Linked DNA regions of Canis lupus familiaris. The protein of the gene in region 1 purifies or fractionates together with the protein of each later gene. This does not show direct contact. Links are inferred from orthologs where the notes say so. Each region holds a gene or a part of one and is shown in the gene's direction. Other genes may lie near its edges.

The links.
Region 2: the proteins of TNRC6A (region 1) and CNOT7 purify together in Homo sapiens (affinity purification with western blotting; 3 studies listed by BioGRID and IntAct, with this or other methods). This does not show direct contact. The link is inferred for Canis lupus familiaris from reciprocal best matches to the Homo sapiens genes TNRC6A and CNOT7.

What each region holds. Positions count from the first base shown.
Region 1 is NC_049227.1:21,528,606-21,532,429, reverse strand, and holds part of TNRC6A (trinucleotide repeat-containing gene 6A protein), read left to right. Parts: intron 1-1,261; exon of another isoform or gene 1,262-1,346; coding exon of another isoform or gene 1,347-1,362; intron 1,363-2,138; coding exon 2,139-3,824.
Region 2 is NC_049237.1:41,445,412-41,449,235, reverse strand, and holds part of CNOT7 (CCR4-NOT transcription complex subunit 7), read left to right. Parts: intron 1-2,557; coding exon 2,558-2,719; intron 2,720-3,824. UniProt on the Homo sapiens protein: Has 3'-5' poly(A) exoribonuclease activity for synthetic poly(A) RNA substrate. Its function seems to be partially redundant with that of CNOT8.

The sequences.
Region 1 (3,824 bases):
CGGTGGTGGTTGGGATTTGCCATGCACAGTAAGCAAGCAAGGATAAATCTTAGGTTTTAGGAAACTTACTGAGACGAAGAAAACCAGTAAAGAAGCAGAATTTTTTTTCTCCTTTGGGAATAGGCATCTGTGGGGGAATGATCCAGGAGTTAGTATTCTGTTTGAGACAGGTGCAATTACTGTTCTCACTTTACAGATGAGGAAACTAAGATACAGAAAGATTGAGGATCTTGCCTGTGATCATATAACTAGGAAATGACAGAGCAGCTTTTAAGCCCAAGCAGTCTGACTACAAAGTTGTGCTCTTAATCACTATACCAAACTGCCACTGGTGGAGCATTTCTTTGAAGCTGGCACTGAACTAAATACTTCACATAGGACAGTATAGTTAACAGCTGGGTAAAGAGGTACTGTCTGTCTCCCTGTTGTGCAAATTTGGTCATACAACTGCTGCAGAGAGCCCAGACTTGAGTCTTGGTGTCTGTGGAGTTTCAGCAATGTACTTAGCCACCTTGCTTTATTACTCAATGCTGAATCCTGCTTTCCTCACCTGATTTTCTGTAACTTAGCCTCTGGGCCTTCATTTATTTTCCCAGCTACAAAGTAAAGGTAGTATCGGTGCTTTAGGGTTGTTTCAAGGAGTCAGTGACAAAAATGCAGAGAAAACACATGATCCGTGGTCCTGATTGATGATACTGCTGGTGCCGGTGTTGATATATTGGTTTGTTTTTACCCCATGAGACAAACTGTTCGATATCCTGTGTTTCATGAGGAAAATGCTTCTCATGGGCACTGAAAGATGATGACAAACTTCATTTGACAGCTTAAAAAAATGATTCCCAACTGGGAGTGGAGATAAGAGTTTGTTATGGAACTTTAAGATTCATGTAATTGGTGAATTATGTATACGCCTTTAGTCTCTCTTTAGTCTTTTTTCTGCTCTTCTTTCTAACTCCTAGTTTTTTAATGCTTGATGATTGTGCTTTGAGAGAAATGATGGAAGATGAACCTGATTTTCTATATTTGCAGTACATTGGTAGTGAGTTACATTTGTTTTCTAGGCTTGCAACTCCTAGCAGTTGGTTTATTAGGTCTGGGATGTGAGGATGTGATTTGAACATGTATGTTATTTAAAAGCACTACGTAGGATTCTGAGTACTACTCTAGTTGAAAACTACAACATAAGCAACCCCCTAAAGACAGTCTAAATGCAGACATCTTATGCAGGTTAATATCCCTGAGGAACTTTTAACTACCAGATCCTTAAACCGAATGAGAGGAATGAATCTGGGGAAGTATTAGAAGCATGAGAACTGCCTGCCCTCTACCTGCAGGAAGATAACTAGATGATAATGTATAGCGGTGAGTCCAAGATTATAGGATTCTATGACTGATCATTAATGATGTTCAGTGTCAGCACTTGATTTTTTTAATCATCATAATTCTGTGATCTCCTAAAAAATATGGCTATGAAGGTAAATTAAATTTTTATGAAGGAGAATGCAACTAAAAATATTTGTACTTGCATGCAGTATTTCAGGTTGAACATAAACACTAATGAAATGGAAATAAAATGGGAAAGAAAGGCTTTGTAATTTTTATAAACTTGTTCTAATACCCAAAACCGTTGTGTGAAAAAGCTCCTCTAAGAAAGGAAAGACAGGAAAGGATTTCTCATATGTTTCTAATACATTTAGTCAAGTTTGTCCTGCTCCTTTGTCCTTACCCATCTCCTTCCCAGCCCCCCCTTTTTTTTTCCACGTCAGGCCTCTAGGCCTGGGTTGCTTCATTATCCTAATACATTACTACAACCTAGTTCTTCCTGACACTAAAATTCTTCTACTTGCTGATAAGTAATAGTTTGTTCATTCAGCAGCAGATCTCTAATGAGAGGGACTCTTGTGTTCCAGGTACTGCCCTAGGCTCATAGGATAACATCAGTGAATAAAACGCAAAATACCCTGCCTGTGTGGAATTAATGACTAGATAAGGAAAGTTGGTAGCTGGGATATAATCCGTGCTTTTGTAACCATACTGCCAAGTATCAAATTTTGTTAATGTCGAGGAACCACATATGTTTATAACATTTCTCATCTTTCCAAGCACTTAATAGTTTTTGTATTTCTCCTTTATTCTAGATATAAACCACAGTACTTCAGGATCCCATTATGAAAATTCACAGCGGGGACCTGTGTCTTCTCCGAGTGACTCTAGCACAAATTGTAAGAATGCTGTTGTAAACGACTCCCCTGAGACAGAAGCATGGCCCTCAGTCCCTGGCAGTGATCCAGAGTTGGCTTCAGAATGTATGGATGCTGATTCTGCCTCCAGTTCTGAATCAGAGAGAAACATCACTATCATGGCTTCAGGGAGCACAGGTGGTGAAAAAGATGGCCTTCGGAATAGCACTGGACTTGGTTCCCAAAACAAGTTTGTGGTTGGTAGCAGCAGCAATAATGTGGGCCATGGAAGTAGTCCTGGGCCATGGGGTTTTTCCCATGGAGCCATAATAAGCACATGTCAGGTCTCTGTGGATGCTCCTGAAAGCAAATCAGAAAGTAGCAACAATAGAATGAATGCTTGGGGCACTGTAAGTTCTTCATCAAATGGAGGGTTAAATCCAAGCACTTTGAATTCAGCTAGCAACCATGGTGCCTGGCCAGTATTAGACAACAACGGACTTGCCCTCAAAGGGCCTGTAGGGAGCGGTAGTTCTGGCATCAATATTCAGTGTAGTACCATAGGCCAGATGCCTAACAATCAGAGTATTAACTCTAAAGTGGGTGGTTCTTCCACCCATGGTACCTGGGGAAGCCTTCAGGAAACTTGTGAATCTGAAGTAAGTGGTACACAGAAGGTTTCATTCAGTGGTCAACCTCAGAATATTACCACTGAGATGACTGGACCAAATAACACTACTAACTTTATGACCTCTAGTTTACCAAACTCCGGTTCAGTACAGAATAACGAACTGCCTAGTAATACAGGGGCCTGGCGTGTGAGCACAATGAATCATCCTCAGATACAGGCTCCATCGGTTATGAATGGCACTTCCCTTTCTCATCTTAGCAATGGAGAGCCAAAAAGTGGAGGCTCTTACGGTACTACGTGGGGTGCCTATGGTTCTAATTACTCTGGAGACAAATGTTCGAGCCCTAACGGCCAAGCTAATGGTGACACTGTGAATGCAACTCTAATGCAGCCTGGCATAAATGGGCCTATGGGCACTAACTTTCAAGTGAACACAAATAAAGGAGGAGGTGTGTGGGAGTCTGGGGCAACGAATTCCCAGAATGCATCGTGGGGAAGTGGAAATGGCGCAAATTCTGGAGGAAGTCGACGAGGATGGGGAACTCCTGCACAAAACACTGGCACTAATATACCCAGCGTGGAGTGGAGCAAACTGCCTAGCAATCAGCATTCCAATGACAGTGCAAATGGCAATGGTAAGAAGTTTACAAATGGATGGAAATCTACTGAGGAAGAGGATCAGGCTTCTGCCGCATCTCAGACAACTGAGCAGAACAGTGTGTGGGCCAAAACAGGAGGTACAGTGGAGAGTGAAGGTAGTACAGAAAGCACTGGACGCCTCGAGGAGAAAGCCACTGGGGAAAATCAGAGTAGAGATCGGAGAAAAATTGATCAGCACACATTACTCCAAAGCATCGTAAACAGAACTGACTTGGATCCACGTGTCCTCTCCAACTCTGGTTGGGGACAGACTCCTATTAAGCAGAATACTGCCTGGGATACGGAAACATCACCTAGAGGGGAAAGAAAGACTGACAATGGGACAGAGGCCTGGGGAAGCTCTGCAACACAGA
Region 2 (3,824 bases), on another chromosome or scaffold:
TTATACTTATAGGTAGGTCGAAAAGTTGGGACGCCTGGTTGGCTCAGTTGATAGAGCATGCGACTCGATCTTGGGGTTGTGAGTTTAAGCCCCACGTTGGATGTGGAGCCTACTTGAAAAAAAAGTGAAAACATATTTCTTGAATTTAACATACTATTAAAGTTTGGTTGGTAATTTAACATACTATTAAAGTATGGTAGTAAAGTTAGGTTGGTTTCTGTTTTTAGGATATTATTTGAAATGAGCAGCCTTGTATATATCTGCTTTTTGGGAAAACCTTTTTTAGAGATTTGTACATGGCTTTCACTCCTGTTGGGTTATTATACCTGAATATTTTGCCACCTTAAACTTCAGTAGTTGATTAGTATTAAGAGCAGTCACTGCTGTTCTGAACAGATTGTTCTAATCAGTAAGTCAATCCCTACACCTGCAGCAATCCTTACATTTTGGACACAACAGTGTTTTCACTACTTTTTTGAGATTTGCATCCTCTAATATATTCCTGCATTTACTGAGATTTTTTTTTCCATTTACTAAGATTTTTGAGGGTGGGGAATGATTTGAAAACTTGAAATGGATTGGGAAATGGACAGTCTTGATTCGGAATTGAATTGTAACAATTTTGGAGTTTTCCTTACCAGCAGGAAATTTTCTTCATCCTATTTAGAGATTTATTAGCCTACCTGTATAGAGCTTTCGGCTTTCTCTTCTAATGAGTTGGGCATTATAACGCATGGAATTGGTTCCAAATTTTAAAATATTTCCTCCAAAGAAATTTAAATGACAGTATATTAGCTTACGCTGCATTGAGTTATGTAAACTATGCAGAAAAAAGAGAAAGAAGTAATTTATCCTCCCCTTTTTTTAACCAAACTTGTTGATCATCGAATGCCTGAAGTACTTATCCAGGTCTTTCTTCTGGATATTGTGATTCAGTAGGTCTAGGCATAGGACCTGGGATTCCATATTTTTGATAAGCTCTCTGGATGATTCCTGTTACTGTTCTACCTCACATGTTTTTTGGCATGGTGATAGACATTAAACAAAATAGACAAAAATCATTGCCCTCTTAAAGCTTACATTCTGATTGAGAGTGTACTGTAATAAAGATTAAGTGAGCATATGGCCCAGAATAATGTGAGCCTAGAGAAAGAATCTGTTATGCTTTGGGTTGGTTATAATTTGCTAAAGTATGCCTCCCAGTGTGGGTATCAGAGCCTGGTGAGTGAAACTTGCTGTTTAAGATACATATTTTTAGTGTAATAAGGCTAATAATATCTGTTGTTTAATGAAAAAAACTTAGATTTATTCAGATATCTTTCCTAAAGGGTTTTTCTGTGGGGAGTTTTGGTCTAAAGTGATGATTGTAGTTCCCCTCTATTTTCTCAAATGTTTCAGAGGCTAGTTGTTTTGTTTTTTTTTTTAATTTTTACATTAAGGTACAGTTTATATACAATGTTATATTAGTTTCAGGTGCATAAGGTTCCATACATTGTGTAGTGTTCACCACAATAAATGTATTTACCATCTGGTGTCATAGAGCATTACGTTTTGTTATTTTTCAAAGACATCTAGAAGCAGACTGATGTCCAGAGAATAGACCTTAAGAATACTTTTTTACTTAAAATGTTTCTTTTGGTTTAGTTATATTGTGGCTTTTAATAGAGTTTTCTATTGCCAAGTGGTGGAAATTAATATTCTTGCAATTTAAAAAGTAAATGAAAATACAATGGGCAGTGCACAAAATACTTCTCATGTATTCTCAGAAACCTATACCTTTGTTTTGATCCTTTTTTAATTTAACATTTTGGATTCCTGTGTGTGCTTAGAAATTAGGGCTTGCTTTTTTGCCTTAAGTAAAATCTTGAAGGACTGGTTTATATTTAGATTTCCTGGTTTGACTTTTGGAAGGTGATTTTCTAGGATTAAGATTGTTAGAAGAAATTATTGCTGTTATAGCAAAGGCTTTCATTTTAAGCATGTTACTGGTTATTGGAGCCATTTGAAAGGCTCATCATTAGTGAGAGGAGGAATCTCCCTTTTTCTTTAGGATGGAATGTAGTTTCACTTAGCCACATCAGATGTTTTCTCCAGCTTCTTCCTGGAGCTGCTGGGAGATGGGAGATGTATATAGGCTGTCACCCCAGTGGCTACAGCTCCATCTGGCAGCTATAAAAAGACTGCTGAGACTGAAAGCCCCTGGAAAAAACATGTCTTTTATTTTGTGGTGGTAGCCCCTGGTGAGTAGAAGACCCTTTTTTCAAACTCAGTTAAATATATCTAACTTGTGAAAGGCAAATGAAATTGAATCGATAGTAAAGCTTAAAATCTTACCCTTGGACTGTTTTTAAAAGATGAATTACTGAACAGTTTTCAAAAATAATAACCTTTATATTTAAATTGTATTTTCCTTCATATATGTGAAGCACTGGAATAATTGGACCCAAGCCAATCCTCTGTTTCGTTGTTTCTGGCACTGTAGTTGTAGATGTAAGTGGGAGAAAAACAGTTTGAAGTATGGCGCTTTTGAAGGTTGTCTTTCTTTTTCTCCTGCCAGGGAGGACATGTATGCTCAGGACTCTATAGAGCTACTAACAACATCTGGCATCCAGTTTAAAAAACATGAGGAGGAAGGAATTGAGACCCAGTACTTTGCAGAACTTCTTATGACATCAGGAGTGGTCCTTTGCGAAGGGGTCAAATGGTTATCCTTTCATAGGTAAAAAAGAAAAAAAAATTGCATTGAAAATAGCATTTGTGTTTCTGTTTCCTAGCTGCTTTATACTTGGTGTGGGTCACTGTTCGAGAGGGAACTGGCTGCCGCAAAACAGTCTCCTCTCTTAAGAAGCTAATGTTGGTCTGCTTAAGGGTTAATTTAAAGGTATGAGATTCATTTTTAGCCTATGAGAGAGACTGTATTACATAGTGGAAAAAGTTAAGCTGATAAAGTAGATCTTGGTTTAAATCCAGCAATGCCATTTGGAATCAATGTTACCAAGAGTCATTTAACATTTCTGAGCCTTAGAATTAAACCATTCATTCATTAAGAAAATATTTATTTAATATCTACCAATGCCAAGTACTGCAGTATAAGATTCTAGGAATTAAGCTGTGAGCCAAACAGACAAAAATCCTCATCTTCATGAAGTTTATATTCTGGTCAGAGTAGGCAATTTTTTTTTTTAAATGATGACATTTATATTGTGGTTTATTGGTTAGTAAGTGCAATGCAGTAAAAAACCAGAAAGAGAGTGTTAGGGGAGGGTAGAGGTTGTGGATTTTATTATTTTTTTTTTTTAAATAGAGTGATCAGCTGGCATTACTTAGGTAAATATCTTGTTTTAATGACCAATGATATATTTAGAGCATTTTAGTAAAAGACTTTACACACAGTTAATTCTCAACAAATAGTCATTTTTAATTCTTATTATAAAATAAGACTGGATTGTTGAAGAGAATTTCCAGAAGGGGAATTAGTTCCATTTTTTAAGAAGAGACTTCCAAATAAGACAGAGTTTTCCTATTTAGGTAAACTAAATTAAACTGGAAGCCCAGGGACTAAAAGTGGCCTCGGTAATTAATTTATTTGGCCTTCTCTTACGGTAATTAATTTATTTGGCCTTCTCTTAATGTTCTTACATTGGGTCCATTCCACACATTTAAAAAAAAAAAAGGAGTCTCCTGCATTTTCAGCTCTAGCCTCTGGAATGATTATAGTGAAGGACTGTTCATATTGCAAACTCTGGTGTAATACTAAGCAGTAATTTTTAAGTTGGTACCGAACATAGTAATTCTCACCTGTCATCTTTTCTCTTTGTTCTGCA